Linked DNA regions of Caenorhabditis elegans. The protein of the gene in region 2 interacts with the protein of the main gene of each other region in a pairwise test. Each region holds a gene or a part of one and is shown on either strand. Other genes may lie near its edges.

Region 1 (8,647 bases), on a different chromosome or scaffold from region 2:
TACAATGGACAATTGTCAATTACAAAAAGTAAGAATACGTTTTGGGCAACATTTTATTAGTTGTAAGGTTGCCTGTAAAGTGTCTTGTTTTTGAGTTATAGGTTGTTGAAATCAAGACGTTTGCCGTGAAGTTTGCCGGATTGCCGATTTGCCGGTAATGTTGTTTTTCGGCAGCTTGCCGATTTGCCGCTTGCCGAACATCAATTGGCCGCAAGATTTTTTAAAAGACGGAAATTTTTAAATCTCTGCCTTTTTGAAATTTTTCCCATTTTTTTTCTAAATATTTTTAAAAATAGATTTAGGAACGTTAGGATAGAATTTTGCCGATTAAAATTGAAATTCTGAAGTTTCCAAAAAAAAAAGTTATTTGCCGTAAATTTTCGGTAATTGCGGTTTTCCGGCAAATTCAGCGATTAGCAAATTGCCGGTTTTCCGATTTGTCGGGAATTTCCATTTCCGAAAATTTTTTGATTTATCGATTTGTCGATGAAAATCGTTTGCCGCCCACCCCTGGTTGAAATTGCTTTAAAATTTAAAAACCATTTATATTTTGGTAGCTGAAAATTGATCTTCTCTATTTTCTCCTATTTCCAATTGTTGTTTCCCATCTCAAATCTCAGCACTTTTTCGTCTAAAAAGTACCTGAAAACTTTGCATTTTTCCCGATTCCAACAGGTTATTCTACTGGAGTAAAGCAATAACAATTGTCACTAATGACACTTTTGAAAGTGTTCAATACTCTCTATCTTTATCGAACGATTCACTTTTTGTCTTTATCATCTTTGAAGAATACGAGACAGGGGAAAGAGAGTTAAGGGGGGGGGGGGGGAAGTGATAAATGATACGGGGCCCTTCGAGTACAGCTGTTGGAGGAAGATTTTGAGAAAAGATTCTTGTTGAGCATTTGAACTTCGAGGGGAGCCACGTCAATGAAATGACGTGACTTGTGAAAAACACAAAATGTTTAGGAAAATAAAGAAAATCTTTTGAACATCTTGAGATATTCGTTTGAATCAGAAAGGGTCCCGAAGCGAGAATCGGTCTGACCTCGGATTCACAAAGTTATCATTGAACAGACGTCAAATCAAGGATTGATCCTATCAAAAAGGGTCTTTAAACGAAAATGGATCCCGCAGCGAAAGCAATTTTTGTATGATTTTTGAACACTTTTTGAATCGATCGCTTTTTTTTCAGACTTTACACCCTTTTTTCTGCAAAAAAATGTCTGCCTTTTTCTTGTCGAACAAAAAAAACCCAAAAAAAATTCATAAAACCTACGAATTTGATTTTTGAAAGTTTCAATCTATCATTCATCAGTCTTCTTCACATTCCGCTTCTACAAATGATAAGCCATTATCACAAAGAGTACGGTAGAATGGGACATCATTTCACGTGAACTGTGCCCGTCCACACGTGAAATCGAGCGGTGAACAATGAACAAAAACAGCAAAATACACGTGGAAAAGTCCTGGTTAGAAGGAGTTTTGTGGGAGCTTTAGTGGAAATCAGTGAAACTATTAAACATAATAAAATGTTGAACTTTTGTTTTAAGTAAGGCTCTGAAACCACCTGAAATCGATGAAAAATGCAAAATTTGAAGTTTGAAAATTTGAAATGCAAAATTTGAATAGAAAAAAATTTGAAGTCCTGTTAAATGTCGGCTGGTAAAAGTAGTGCCTGTAAAATGTCGGCTGCTCGAAATTGGGCCTGTAAATGGAGAGACGCATGGAGACGCATGCGCCTTACAATTTTAGCTGTTTTGATAATTACCTGTGAAACCTCGGCCGCTAAGCACAGTACCTGTAAAATGTTGCTTGTTGAAAGAAGTGCTTGTGAAACGTCGGTTGCAGAGAATAGTACACACCTTTAAAGTTTCGGCTGCTTGAACTAAAATCTTCAATATATCAGCTGCTTTGGTTAATTCGAAAAAAGCTCAGATGGTCACTCCGAACTGACAAGAAAGCGCTCCTGTCTTACAAAATTTTAATTTTTCCAGCGGCCGACATCTACCGGGCTTGTTCAATTTGAAAAATCTAATGCAGTAAGCTTGCTGAAATTAGGGTCCCCCCTTACTTGTAGATCAAATTTTTCTAGATCAAAACTTCAATTTTAATTTTAGCAGGTTTTGAAGAAACCCCCAGTGTCTGTCTCCCGAAGTTTTCACCAAGTAAGACATGAAAGAGCATCCGGTTTTTAATGAGATGTGAATCTGATAGTTTTTGTGCAAAACCCCATTCAGAATAAACATACCAATTTATTTTCGCTATTTTACCCCGTGATATTGGTCATATGTATGATGAGAGAGGAGAAGAAAAAGTAAAGTATACAATCCAGAAAGGAAAAAAATAATGAGGTGGGTGAGGAGAATGTGCAAATATATGGAGCCGCTTCTTCTCAAACCATATATGGAATCTCTTCATCGTCGTCGTCGTCGTCGGTTTCCTCGTCTCCAGATGTGGTCGCGTGGTGGTTTGAGATGACGTATGAGTCGTTGGCCTCTTTGGTGCCTCCACCTCCGAAGACGAGCTCACTCGAGAGCAGCCTTCGAGCAATGGCAATTGCTACAGCATCGATTTCGGTTCCGATTTGGCGGGAGGAGTCGCTGAAAGAAGTATATGTTAACTGGAAGATAAAATGGTAGGATGATAGCTGGTGGCTCGTAAAGTGTCGGCCGCGGAAACGAGACGGCAGCCGACACCTCGTAAGCTTGGCTAGCTAGGCGAACGCTAGCTTTGCTGGCCTGTGAAATGTCGGCTGCAATCTGCTGCGGACACCTCACGTGCCAACCCGGTCCTGCATACGCCAGCCTGGCCCATGAAGTGCCGGCTGCAGTCAATGGGCTGCGGCCGACATCTTACTGGATTGGTAAAAGTGTGTGCGCCTAGAAGTAAGCTTGTGACGGAAAGTTATTAGGAGGAGAGCAAAGAGAGTCTGGGAGATAGAAGTTTGAGATACAGTAGACATGCGAAATAGATAGCAGAAGTTCAACTACTTTAATTTTCCCCTACTTTTGCTGATTTCTCACGATGCCGGTCTGTCTTGGACCGAGGAATGTTAGGGCGCCCACTACCGCCAACGGCATGGATTGTCTGAAAGAGAGAACGGGACTCAGTGACAGGGTGATGGATAGGTTTCAGATTTCTGCTTACGAAAAATTGATTTAGACAAACTTACAAGCTTCGGGTTACTGTAACATAGTCCTGCTTGCGAGGAGCACTCGTGCTGTGGCAGACGAGAGGTTTGATGGCTTCGCGGATTTCCTGGAATCTTTGGTTTTTTTGTTAAATTTTATGAGAATTGGAAAAGGTTCTGAGAGAAGTTTAGATGCATAATTTTTGCTGTGAAATTTATGAAATTGGAATTTCTAAAACTCGGAAAAAAATCAGAAAATTTTGGCGGGAATCCAAGAAATCAGGCATTTTTTAAAGAATTTTTCAGATAAAATTAAAAAAAAAAAAACCTACCTGATTGAACAAATAATATACAAAAAGACGCGTGGCACACACCAGAATGTAGAGTACTGACGTCACATCGGTGCAAGTTTCGTAGAACTGAAATTGGGAATTGTAGTTTGTAGTTTGCTGTTTGCAACTTTTCAACATACCGCATAAGCGTCTCCGGTTTGTGTTGATTGAAATGCCACGTACTCCCACAGTGTGACACCGACGTTTAGAATATTCGCGAGAAGATACGAGAAAACGATACATACCATCAAAATTGTTGCCGATCGGATTTTCGTCTTATGATCACTTGATAGAAAACGGAACATTTGCGCCGATCTCTGCTGCATTCGAAGAATTTTCACGACTTTGTAATTAAGAATGGCCAGCAGAACGAAGGGTACCAGGACTGTCATGATGTTTCTGAAAGATTTTTTTGGCTTGGTATTTTATTTTTTTAAATAATTGTTTTAATATAACTTTTTTGATGCTTGAATAGAGACAAAATTGAGCAGAAAAAGGATACGGAAAACTTTAAATTTTTTTATTTTCAGCAAGTTGTAGGTCTGATTTCATGGTTTATACATCTGCCTTGTGCCTACACTCATGCCTATTGCCAAAAGTACAGAAAAATAGGCGGTAGGCAGGCAAGTAGGTAGGCGACCTAGTTTTGAAAAACTTTTGGTTAAAAACAATACTTTGTTATAAAAAAAATGTTCCAGAGTTTTCCATTTTCTGAAATTTCGATAAATTCCTTTTGAAATTTCAAGTACTTTTTTAAGTCTAATTATTCAAAATTAGGTCAAATATGCAATTAAAAAATTGAAATTATATTTTTTTTTCTATTTTTTGTTGATAATTTTAGTTTAAAATAAATTTTAGATTCAAAAATATCGGACAAACAATTTTTTTTTAATTTCAAAAATTTTCAGTTCATTTCTCTCTGTAATTTCTCCAATTTTTCAACAAATCCCTGCACCTACCTGACATAAAACCGGTACACAGTTCCATACCAAAACGTGTTCACAATCGGCGACAAGTTCAAATAGTACTCGCTAATCTCGCCAATACAATCGGGATTCTGTTCTATTTGCATTTCGAAAATGATGGGCGCCCTGAGCAACAGAGCCAAAATGAACATACAAAGTGCAGAGAGTCCCCGGCATTGTCGAAATGTGCCGAGGCATTTTGCGCGTAGTGTGATCAGATATCGCTCGATGGTCGCCAGGATGATCAGGTAGCATGAGAAAGTCATTGAGGTTTGTGAGAGAGCAAGTAAGGGTCCCACGTATTGAATATAAAGATTTGAGAGCCAACGCAGTTTCACACGATCTTTGATTATGTCCATTGCTATCACGGGACCGTAGTTTAGAGATAAGAAGCAGTCGGATAAGGCGAGTAGGGCTAGGAAGTAGAAGTGCGTGTGCTTCGAGGATAGTAGGACCTGGAAATTAAAAAGATGTTTTCTTATTGCAGACCCGATCGCCTTGCTGATTGGTCAGGCTAACAATTGGACCAATCACAGGCGCTGGCCCCTCCCCTACCTCATCGTTCATTGGTCGCCATACGATTTACCCAAAACATTTGAAATTTCGTGTGAAGAACATGGGTTTTTGGCAATTTTGTTTATAACTCTCAAAGTTGTTTTAAACTCTCTCAATTTTTCAACTTTTTTTAAAAGAATTTTTGAATATTTCTAATACGTTTTCTTATGTCTTTTTTCCGACAAATCTTGAATGAAATTATTTTTAAAAGACCACACTTTTTTTAGTGGAAAAGCAAAATTTTAAGTTTTTCGAAAATAAAATCAATTTTAAAAGACAAAAATTTTCGTCAAATTAAGCTGAATTAAGCATTTTCCAATTAAAATCAAAACTATGAAAAACACTCACTTTTGATATCAACATATTTGAAACAATTGATAAAACCGATAATGATGTTCCACAAACTGCTACCAGGTACCATCGTCGATCCAGGCTCTCCACCATACACGCCTCGCTCATTGCTGCTGTTTCTGTGATGTTCATTTTGCTGAAAACTTGAATTTTTGAGTTAAGGGCTGTCAATAGAGATGAGATTAATTACAAGATAGATAGAAAATCGAATTTTTAACAGTTTTGCAGTTGGAAATTTTCAACTTGCTCAAATATTCGCTGACTATGAGTTTCGTTAATTTGAAAATGAGGGAGTAAGAGAAAGGGAGAGGGAGAGGGCAGAGGTCAGAGATACAGACGCTCTCGCTGTCTGCGTCTTCCCTTGTTTTTCATATTTAAAACATCGGTATATCTACTTGAAAAGAATAAATTTTAAATTTTTATTTTTTGCAAAAAGCTGCAATTTCATTTGTAAAACACCGATCAAAAAAATTATAACATTTTTTTCTTTCAAAATAACTTTTTTACAGCTCAAAATTGAGGGGTTATGCACCCAGTGAAGCCAATTCTAATCAATTTTAGGTCCGTCCACATCCTAAGTAGTTTCCATTAAAATTTGCATAGAGAAAAAAATGAGAAAAAAGGATAAGAGATAGATAGAGACATCTCTTTTCCTAGAATCAAACATCAATTTGATTTCCTTTGAAATTGGTAGGTAGGTCAAAAAGGACCACCCGGGTTGAGCTTTTCGTAGCAAAAAAAGTAAGAAAATGGAACAAAATCGGGGAAGAAAAGTTGCAATAGATGAGTGGGTGCTCTTTTTGTTGGGTGATGGCGTGAGAGAAAAACCGCTCTTAAAAGAATAGAATGAAAAGCTCAGAAATCTGGGGGAAACCGGATGACGCATAGAATATTACTATCCAAAAAGCCGGAACACTCGGCAATTCGGCAACAGAATTGTTTTGCTCCTTTTTGAAAACTTCAATGTAGGTTTATTAATATTCGTTTTTAAAGTCCCTGCAGGCTAAACCCTGTGAGCATAAGCCTAGCCTAAACCTAAGCCAAAGCCTAAGCCTAAGCTTAAGTCTACGCCTATGTCTAAGCCTAAGCCTATGCCTAAGCTTAAGCCTAAGCCTAAGCCTAAGACTAAGTCTAAGTCTAAGCCTAAGCCTGAGCCTGAGCCTAAGCATAAGCCTAAGCCCAAACTTAAATCCAAGCCTCAGCCTAAGCCTAAGCCTAAACCTCAGTCTCAGCCTAAGTTTAAGCCTCAGTCTAAACCTAAGTCTAAGCCTAAGCCAAAGCCTCATCGTAAGCATTTTGAGAAAAAATCAAACACCTCGTAGCAAAGAGCAAGGAAGTTGGAAATGAAAATTGTCGTGTTTTTCTCAACTTTTCAAAAAATCTCAGAACATGTTTTTCAAAATAAAGTGGGTGGGTGTCGGTGGGGGTGTGGGGATATTTGCAAGGTAATTATTTTCAGGTTTTCCCGAAAATTTGGCGCTTTTGAAATTGAAAATTGGCTGGAAATTCGAACAAAAAACACTGAGTGAATAAATAGCACACCGCCAGACAGGGAAATTGCGGGTTTTCAAACAAAAATTTGTTCGGAATTTGAAGACATACAAGGACCCAACAATGACATACACATACACACACAGACACAACAACAGAAGAAAGAGCAGATCCAAAGAATTCGAAATGAGATGAAATGTTTCATATATTCATGTGTGTTGGAGAGCACTGCCTGCTCTTTTTTTGGGGCGGAGCTCACGGATGAGTTGGGGTTGGCTCCGCCGCCGAGGCATCTTCTCCTTTGCAGAATAGAATGGAGGAATTGAATCAGATGAAGATGAAAGGCGAGAGCTCGCCGAGCACACACACGTCGAAAAAGTAGAGAGGAGGTGACGTGGCAGGGGGGGGGGGGGGACGTCAAAATTGGCGGGTGATCAGTGCCAGTGATCTACAAACGGCTGAAAACCTTTTCCTTTTCAGGCTCTACGCAACACGTGGATTTTCACAGATGTTTTAGATCGTAAATGTAGTTTAAATATCTATGATCTTTGAAATGAATTACTTTCTAGGTACCTGCCTACGTGCCTGCCTACCGCTTATTTTTTGAATTCTAACGTGATTTTTCCTATTTTCAGCTCTGCCTACCTACATTTTTGCCTACATCCCTGCTAAGTTGCACCATTGCCCACCTTTATATCAGTCAGCCTACGTACCTACCTACCGAAAACCATGCTTACCTACACTACTGCCTACCTAGATAACTGCCTATGTACTTGCCTACCAAAATCTATGCCTACTTTTATACCTGCCTACCTTTGTGCCTACCTACCCAGTCTATCTATCGCTTTGTTTTTACATACCTACCTACCTACTTTCCGAAAAGGAATAAGGAAGTTTTGAGAAGTAAAAGTTTACATTCAAAATCAGAAAGGTTTTTGAACATGATCTTATTTTTAATTTGGAAAAATGAAAAATTGAAAAACACAGGAAAATAAGAAAACTGAACAGGAAATTGAAAAATAAAAAGGAACAACAAAATTAAAGATTGTTTTCAAGTTTGAAGGAACTGGAAGTAAGAAACTTGAATTGACAATAGGTTGACTACAAGCCTACGCGCCTGCCTACAGCCAAAATTTACTTTTTTACTTAAAGCCAATTAAGACGTGAAAAGTGGTAATTTGTGATTTAGACGTAGGTAGGCATTGGTCAGGCAAGTATTTTCGTTCCTGTCTGACCTTTGGCAACGCAGAATTGAGCTATGTGTCTGATGAAATGACATCAAATCAGGGGTCACCGTCATCTTCCTCAAACTTAATATGTAAATTATTAGTGAGAATCAAGGGAATCCATCAGTGTACTCCTCTCGCACTTCTTCATCTAACTTCCTTGTAAAATGTGTGCATAACTCTCCCGTCAAGGGAAGTAGGATGACCTCTCCGCCCCGTAAAATAGCTCTTTGTGTCACAAATTATCAATTTTCCCGTTTTCTTTTTGGCTTTTTCGGGAGTGGGGGGTCTAGACATAACAAAATTTAGACCTGACCCCAAAAAAAGAAGTGCACATTGGCTTCTCTATTGTCCTGTCTTCTATTTTCAAATAGAAAAAGAGGAGAGAAATAATCCATGAAATTAGATATAAAAATAGACCTTATTTCAATTCAAATTTACAGGAAAAGTATTCAAGGTCTCGGTCTTCCAATTAATAAAATCGATAATTTTTAAAAATTTACCGTGCGGTGCGTGTGTGGTGCGTGTGCCTGTTCCAGCCAATTTTAAAAATTGCACTAGTTTTGAAACAACAAGTACTTTTGAGCTGTCCACC
Region 2 (8,666 bases):
ATAGATGATTTTACTATAAATTATTTATCTACCTTTGTACCTGTGTAGTAAATGTACCTTTAAAATTAGATTTTAACAGATTTGTTTGAATTAGCAATTTTTTTCATTCCACTATATAATATTTGTTCATTCTCAAAATTTAACTTCGAACTTGAAAAAAAAACTACCGAAATTTCCAAAAAGCAGCGTTCGCCAAAACTGTCAATAATGACTAACGGAAAATTGAAAAGATAAACTATATCGATATTAGCTGTTTATTTTTCGAGATATCTAAATCTTCATCCGGTAACCTGCGATTTCGTAAATTTGCCAATCAGCCAAGTTCTCGATTACCTAAAAATACAACAAAACCAGCAAAACCGAATTTGCCTATTGCTAAAAATTTTCAATTGCCACGCACATCTGACGCTAAGCAAGAGTAAGAGAGACGATAAAGTTTGTTTTCATATGTTTTTTTTTAATTAGATGTCCAATTCCACATTTGAACCAACATTGTTTAGAGCCCTGACAGAGCCTTTGGGAGAGTAAGCTTTTAGAAAAAATAATCGTGTTGTTTTCCAATATCTAGGCTGACAATGACGGTATCTGACGTTACTCTGGTTATCTGAAAAATGCCAACAATATGATGTAAAATTACTATAATAACCATGATTACATCCCTGTTTGATTTAAGACTGACTCGAACGGCATCACAGAACCAAGTAAGATTTGTCTTTCAATATGATTCAAAGACAGACACATCGTGCGGATAATTTTATTAAGATATAGTAATCGATGTGAAAGATCAGATTATAACAAAACGAACGCCATGCACCTAAGCCTATTAGATGTGTTATGATGATTGTCGTACCAGACACCTCAAAAAATATATGTTCCAAGTCACCTGCTATTATCAAAATGAAACAACAAGACATTCGGAGAAAACAACGCTGAAAACAAGCTTAGGCGGCGTTCCTAACCAACATTTTTGTCGGATTTGCGAACGGATCTCAAAGCTCTTAAATTAACTTCTTTTTCGGAAATTGTATGATCACTGCGTCGAATCCCTATTATACATAGAAGAAGCCAAAAGTTGAAAGTTTAACTTTTCTTGACTTACTAAATTATTGGCAAACTAAGTTTGAGAAGAGCTTGCGAGAATACCTAATAAGTAGGAAAACGAAACTACAATATTGGTGAACTTGGATCTCCTACGAAATGAAAAAATCTCATTAACAATTTTGGAATGTCTTCAAGGAATTATAAATATGAGCTAGTTTTGGGTTTGCACGAAATTCAAAATTTTGTTTCCAAATTGCTCATCTTGCTGGATCAAAATGATATTTAACCGAGAATCCTAATGCAAATCATTTGCGTTTTATCCATCAGGAACCTTGCGGCATTGCCAATGGTGACGCACGATGCACTAACAAAATAGTGCACTATAATTAAACTATGTTTCAAGAACGGTCGCTTTCGTGATGTGCAGCCTCAGTTGCGATGGATCAATTCTGCCCATTGGAGGAAGTTCGGTTGAAATATTTCCGCATTTGTTCAAGATGAATAAGTGGAGAGGTCGAATAAAGAACTTGATTAGAAATCGAATATTAAAAATTACAAATTTGAAAAGAAATCAGTATAAGAAACAAAAAGCTGTGGATTTTGTTATTGTCACTATAAATTGTAACTTGTAATTTTCTAGCACAGTTTTCAATTATTTCAAATCAAATTTAAAAACAAATTCATGTTTGAAAAGCGGACAAAACTGGTTAAGACATAAACTGAAATTTTCTGATAAACATAAAACACATGTCACAACTAAATTCTATTCTGCTATTGCAAAAATATCAGTCAAGTTTGAAGCATACGCTAGAAACAATAATGGAGTGAGAAAAGTTGGCTCAAATTTGAAAAACTCCCTAATTTTGTGCAAAAAATTAGAAGGGGTTTTTTGCAAATCTCTCATTTTCGAAACCTGTTTGAAAAATATTACAGCTTTCTGGAAAAATGTTTAACTTTCATTGTATTTTGTCATGAACATGGGTACTTGTGTATTATACCCCTCATTTTTAAAACAAATTATTTTTTTAATATAAAAAAGTGTGGAGTTTTTGTATTTATGGGTTTAGGGAAGAAACATTTCTATCCCTCAATAGGGAAAACATCACATTTTATAATTTAATTAATTTTAAAAATGAGGGGTATAATACACAAGTACCTTAACATGTTTTCTGTGCATACGTTCACCACTACAGTGTACACATAAGTTGTCATAAAAGTTGTTAACTGATTACAACATGTTCTCAATAATTCTGAGAAATAATTCTTTCTAGAAGATTTTTGAGAGAGCGTACGAAGTTTACATTGTTCTATTGTGCTACATTGTTGTACATTGTGCTATTTTGTTTTCAGATCAATTGCTATAATATTTGCTAGTTTGATGTTGCAAAAATTTTGAAAGCAAAGATTGTCAATTAATCCATCTCACTAGTCAGCGCCTACTAATAATCCCGGAAACATAGTTAATCTAAGCATTGAATGAAAAATGTGTTGCATTGATCTATTTGGTTCGTGATATGAAATCAAAAGGTTCATACACTTACATCTATTTGTTTATCTCAAATTATAATATTATAAAAAAAATAAAGTTAGTAAAAATACTTTACCAAATGTTTTTGGAATTGAATCAAATATTCCCAAAATTACAAGCATTAAAAGCGCTACAACAACAAAAAACTAGCAGTAATAAGAAAGAAAGAACAAACGAAGTAGTGATTACAAATTTGAACAAAACATGGTAAAAGAAAATTATAACGACCCGTTAATTGCTTAATGAGGATACAACCGGAAGATACAACATGAGTATCACATTGAAAGTAGGTAGTCTATTCAGAAATATTAATGATAATTTTGTAGTAGAGATGATGATCATGGAAATCGAGGATGGGATGGAAATGAATGACAAGTGGTTGCAAATTATGACCATAATAAAATTGAAATATTAACTTATAACGATAGAATTAGTATTCCGTTGTTTCGTGAAGACTGAATTTTTGATCGTTCATATGAATGATATTGTACTGGTCTTCGGCAGTTAACAGTTTAACATCGTTATGTTTCAAATCACTGTAGATCTGAAATTGAACAAGTTAGTACATTTCTTTCTATAAATTTCGTTTGCAGTGACTCACCTTACGCATATCTGAATGTGGAACTAAAGACGTTTGCCGTCCCCAAACCATGTTTCCTTTTCCAAGAATTTCATCGTCTGGAATAAACTGAATTAGCTTATTCGTTTATGTTCTATTTTGTTAAATCTAAACGTTCTAAATATAAGGTGTAGGTGTTAATAGTTTCATATTCAGTTCCGATCGAAATTCCGGTTTAAATGTTGGAAAGATTAATCCGATAATCGAATAAGTTTTTTATGTGATATATTTTTGTTATAGGTATTACTCACCATCACTCCATAAGCTTGCAACAAATGATGCGTCCTTCTTTCCACTATTATTCAGGTTCATCAGATAGTTGGAGTAGGGTACTTCTCCGCACGTCTCTGATATATTCACATCTTGAGATGAACAAGTCATTTCTGGGCAGGTGCCAGGAAAGAATCCCGTCTGGAAATTACAAAAAAATGAGTACAGTTTTTAGTTTTAAGAGGCATTGTAACTATTCATAGACTCTTACTGAGTCATTACAATAAGCACCAGAGTGACGTTATTCAAGATAAGATATACTTACTTCCATTCCGCAAGCTGGAAAGGCAAATGCATGTTGACATGGGCACATTCCATAGTTTGCTGACGCAAGAGCAATGAAAGTGCCAATTCGATGCGATAGGTTGGGTCCGATGTCGCAAGACTCAGTTTTGGTCACAAACTAAAAGAGAGCACAATAAATGTCAATGTATTCTGATGTTATTTTTTCACAGTACCTCGCCACCCTGAATCGCTTTTCGGGCAATGCTGACACCCATAGAGTGCGCAACAATGTTGATTTGTTTGGCTTTTGTGTAATGTAAGACAAACTCGAGAAATCGTCGGTGAAGCTGCACATTTTGACAGTTGAAATGCCTGAAAAATTGTGAAATTCCAGTCTAAACTTATATAGTCACGACCACTCACCTGATGTATGAATTTGAAATGTTTCGGTCTCCATAAGTGATACCGTAAAGCTCAGCCAATGTATAGTCTTTTGACATGAAATACTTCAAAATCTCATCCCATCCTGACTGGAATGGACCATCACCAAATTTTAATGCTGAGTCAGAGTTTCCATGTATGAAGACGATTGGTGTGTTTCCTAGCTAAACTTCGTTTATATATATATTTATAGAAAAAATCCAAGAAGTTTTAAAACGTCATTTTATCATTTTGTTTTAAGACTTCTCTTTCTGTGCGTTTCGCGTTTCCTGATCCCTTAAAGTAGACTGAGTTATCTGTGCTCCGCCACCGCAATGACGAAGTATTTGTGCTCTCTATTATGATGATTGTGATTGACGGTGTCCGATCAAAAAGGTTGCTTTATTTTTTTTCTATTCTTGGACCTTTTAGGGAAATACGTAGAAGGAAAAAGGAAATGTGCAGCCATTTTTTGAGTTACTTTTGGGTGACCTTATAATATTTCTCCAACAAAAACACAAAATAGAAAGGTCCAATGTTATGCTGTCAATCTTCAATGAGCCGGAATGAAAATTGCGTGGGGCCCATTGGAATGTTTCGTTATTACGTAGTTTTTTTTTGTATGCTACGTTTTCTTAGAGTTAATGCTGAGAGCATTTGAAAGTTCCCACGCATTAAAAAGCCCAACCCATTGTCTCTGCCAAAGACCTGATTACCACCTACACCTACATTTGAGACTAGCTAGAAACGACGTCAGAATGGCTATTTGCGCTAAAGGAACAGCCTTTTTTGTGACCAGCATCAAGTCTTGATCAGAACACAAAATCACGGTTGATGGAAAGTTCACACCATAACTACCCAACATTATTCATACCTTTTCTTCTGAGAACACTTTTCCACCGAATGAACCTGTTTCTCCAAAAGCCGAGATTTGACGGAGCAACGCATCATTTCGTTTAGGCCGTCTGGAAATGTCAAAAATAAAGTCACATCATTTACAAATGTGTGTTCTGATCAGCCATCATTTCTTCCTTATTTATGGGTGGCTAGTTCACAAACAAACATCAAAGAGTAACAACAGACTATAAAACATGAAACAAGTATGAGCCTTTAATGTAAGTACCAACAGATGAGCTCAGCAAAAAAAAAAGGAAAGTCCAAAAATCTTCCATGTCTATCAGACTTTTGAAAATAAAAAAGCATAGATCATCTCAATATCTAACTGATTGATGAAATTATAAAAGGAAGTGAGGGTGAAATGTAGAAAATGACGATATTCTATCAAAAGTTAATTTAAATAAATCAAAGAACACGATGAAAAGAAAAAAAAACAGACTAGCCATTTATAAATGTATAGTGGAAAATCTAGATCAGTGACAATAAAAATCAAATTCAGAAAAAAAAACTCTTCGAACACCTCTGATAAAAAAACATGTGATTGATTAATAGGATCAGAATAAGCAGAAAAGTGATTGAGAAAAAAATTTATACTTCCAAAGTTAAAGTCAAATGCATGATTTTTTTTCAGAAAGCGAAAATTCAACTTACTTGTTAAGGTGACTGATGAAGTGATCTGAGAGTGGTCCGAAGATGTCTGCCATGGCTGCCGTACAGGACAGTGCAGCAAGAATGAGAATATTGTTAAGCATAATTTCAGATCAGACGACTATGTTCTGCGCCCGGCGACAGAAGATATGAAAAATCTAAAGATGAAGCGGTCGGTGGGAGGAGTTGAGCTGAAGAGCGTCGAGCAAACTAGAAGACGTGAAGAAAAGGGGCAGTGCCAAGCGGCGGTCAGTAGAAAACCAAAAACTTTGGCGCTGCAGAGAAAAAGACTTGCCTTAATGCTCTCTGTTTTTACGAAGAGCTAAAACACAGATTGGACAGATTTCGAGACCGCCCCTTATGAGACATCACGAACGCTCCGGAGACCGCCCGACCGAAAGTAGCTGTAGAATTCTTTAAATTGAGACTGTTGAGATTTGATCAAAGAAACGACGACGATGACGACAGTGTCCGCGTGTGAAACATTGAAGTGGTTCCGAAGAAGTGTAGTGTCCGAAGTGGGCAAAGATTATCGTATCTAAACTGTTCAGAGTTGAAGAATCAAAGGCCCGATTAGCTCAAGTGTCGAATCGCTTCAAAATGTTTGTGATCGTTTATGGCTAATCTTAAAAGAAACTGGAGTAACCGCTGACGTTGATGGAAATCTTTAGTTTACTGTATTCCATCTGTGATTTTCGAGAAACAATGAAACTTGAATCGCTCAAGTTGACACACCTGACAGATGTAGATCAAGTAGTTGCAAGTTTCCGAAGTAAAAAATACGTTACAAAAATAAGGTTAACGGAGTTTTAAGGATCACCGCTCAAAGCAAAATAAAATTACAAATTTTGATCTCTGCCACGATTTTGAAAATTGAACAAACTAAAAACCAGGTAGGAACTTGGGAACTATTTTCCGTTGACCTTAAATGGGATGTTCCTCGCATTAAAAGGTTCGTGTTTTGATGAACATTCGACATTGCTCTTTTGATAATAGTTATCTTATCAGTTCAGTTCTGTTCGTGTAGTGGTCAGTTTTGGATCTAGTTTGGTTATGCCCACTTGCGACTATTCTCAAATGACGTTGTACCCAAAGGTAGCCACTTCCTTCTTGTCCCATGGACCTTTTACGTAGGGTTTCCTGTTGTGCTTCTGATTCGTGCACCATTCCTTTCTGTGGTTCAATGCACAACTTTTCTCAGTTTACGAGATTGTAGAATTGTGTTGTAAACAGGTTTATTCAAAACTTTTTTGGCCGGTTGATTGGAAGAAAATGCATTTTAATTATGAGCACATTCGAACACAAGAAGAAAGAGAACCGAATTTTTGAGACAAAAGAAGGAACATTAGAACAATGAAAAATTATGCTCAAAGTTCTAAATTCACATTCCCATTTTATAATCATTAAGAGAATACTGTTCTGATGAGATGAACTCGGATCAGCAGAATAGAGTCCTTGTAATTGTTGTCATCAACTACGTCATATCTACTCAATGCGCCGCGGGACCCGTCATACATTTATGATGGGGCTTTTCTGACGACGATTTTCGTTCACAATGACCCATTTTGCTTGCTCCGGAGTACTCTCATTAGTTGCACCCATCCAGAAACAAGGCCGAAAAAAGGCTGGTTCAAAACACACAACCTGATCTTGGCCTTTTCTGTTCTGTGCCAGTTCTGATTGGATTAGAAGAAATGTTCTACTGATAAAGTGAAATAGGAGTGTGAATCATGTTTGTTATGCGATAAATTATGCGAAAACATTTGAATGGACAATTATTTAGAACACAAGGGCATGGGAGGGGGCATGAGCTGTAAAGATAAATCTTGGCAACGAATATAACTGTTAAGGCACACTGCGTTCTGGACAAGTAAAAAATGTCAAAGTAGGTGAAAAGTTGAGTGGGGGGGAAGCAAAATGACCAAAGTGTAAGAGAAATGAGGAACCCTATTTTGTTTTCGTGATATTACACGAAAAATGTGATTAATAAAATTGAATATAGTATAAAGTTTCATCTTATTTATAGTAACGAAACGTTTCCGATGTTATTTCGATTTCCTTTCCACATTGCGACACTACATACGTAGAAAGAAAAACGAAGAAAACGGAAGAAGTGAAACATGGGATGGCCTATATTTTGAAAGCTACCTAAGGAATGAGAGGGAGAGCTGTATGGTTTGAATTCATTATCTATTTTTTTATAATTGACAGATTACGCAGTGTGTCGGAGAGTTGCCGAGCATGCCTTGCGATCTTGCTCCCTTTCGATATTTCCTTGGCTATTGGGCGCAAGGCTTTTCCATCTCGAATGTCCTGCGCAAATGCGACGATTTTTGCAATATCGGTGTCGGGATAGTTCTGAAATTTAAAAGTTTGACTTGATTTGAGTCTCTGCAATCTTTTTTCTTGTGATTATATTTTAATATATGTGATCTGTCGGCTTAGTTGCTTCACAAAATAACTGCGGATTAGATAGACCTTTGAGCATAAGAGTATATTCGAAGCATTTTCTGATTACGTAAAAAGGGGTTATAAAAGCTGAAAGCATGTTATCAGAACCACAAAAACAGATTATGAATGTTTCAAAACACGCACTATTTAAGTTTCGAGTACCTACCTTAAATTAAGCTATAAAAACCTAGTTGAATGTCGCATTCGTCACTTGCCATCTTATCCATCAAGTGTGAGACACATTTAGCTAGGCGTTGCGTCATTTTAAAGATATGTTCCTTTGAAAAAAAAAACCCAATAAACCTGATGTTTCCCAGTCTGTCATAAACTTTGCTCTCAATTTAGAAACATCAAGCCACCTTTTCCTACTTGTCTCGTGTTTTTGCTCTAGATATCAAGATGTGATACTTGATATTTGTGTTGAACTCTGTGTGAGAGCGCGAAGCCGGACTTTTCATATTAGGATACAAAACATAATGTTGCAAAGATCGCACGAATTCCCAGGAACTTTTCAAGTTTTAATGTTCTAAAATCTTAAATGATAATGTGAAAACGAAAAGAGCATAG

The links. Proteins that work in one complex are often made in the same cells at the same time.
Region 1: the proteins of lips-1 (region 2) and R11F4.2 interact in a two-hybrid assay, tested with the Caenorhabditis elegans proteins (one large-scale study listed by BioGRID).

What each region holds. Positions count from the first base shown.
Region 1 is NC_003280.10:4,079,889-4,088,535, reverse strand, and holds R11F4.2 (G-protein coupled receptors family 1 profile domain-containing protein), read right to left. Parts: upstream 5,483-8,647; 5' UTR 5,444-5,482; coding exon 5,333-5,443; intron 4,885-5,332; coding exon 4,424-4,884; intron 3,864-4,423; coding exon 3,605-3,863; intron 3,552-3,604; coding exon 3,465-3,551; intron 3,261-3,464; coding exon 3,175-3,260; coding exon of another isoform or gene 3,171-3,174; exon of another isoform or gene 3,148-3,170; intron 2,603-3,147; coding exon 2,395-2,602; 3' UTR 2,239-2,394; downstream 1-2,238.
Region 2 is NC_003284.9:12,489,951-12,498,616, reverse strand, and holds lips-1 (Lipase), read right to left. Parts: upstream 5,851-8,666; 5' UTR 5,753-5,850; coding exon 5,652-5,752; intron 5,069-5,651; coding exon 4,978-5,068; intron 4,289-4,977; coding exon 4,107-4,288; intron 4,056-4,106; coding exon 3,917-4,055; intron 3,862-3,916; coding exon 3,724-3,861; intron 3,600-3,723; coding exon 3,440-3,599; intron 3,248-3,439; coding exon 3,171-3,247; intron 3,114-3,170; coding exon 3,000-3,113; 3' UTR 2,576-2,999; downstream 1-2,575. Other genes in the region: tbc-13 (TBC1 domain family member 13), read right to left, coding at 7,839-8,006.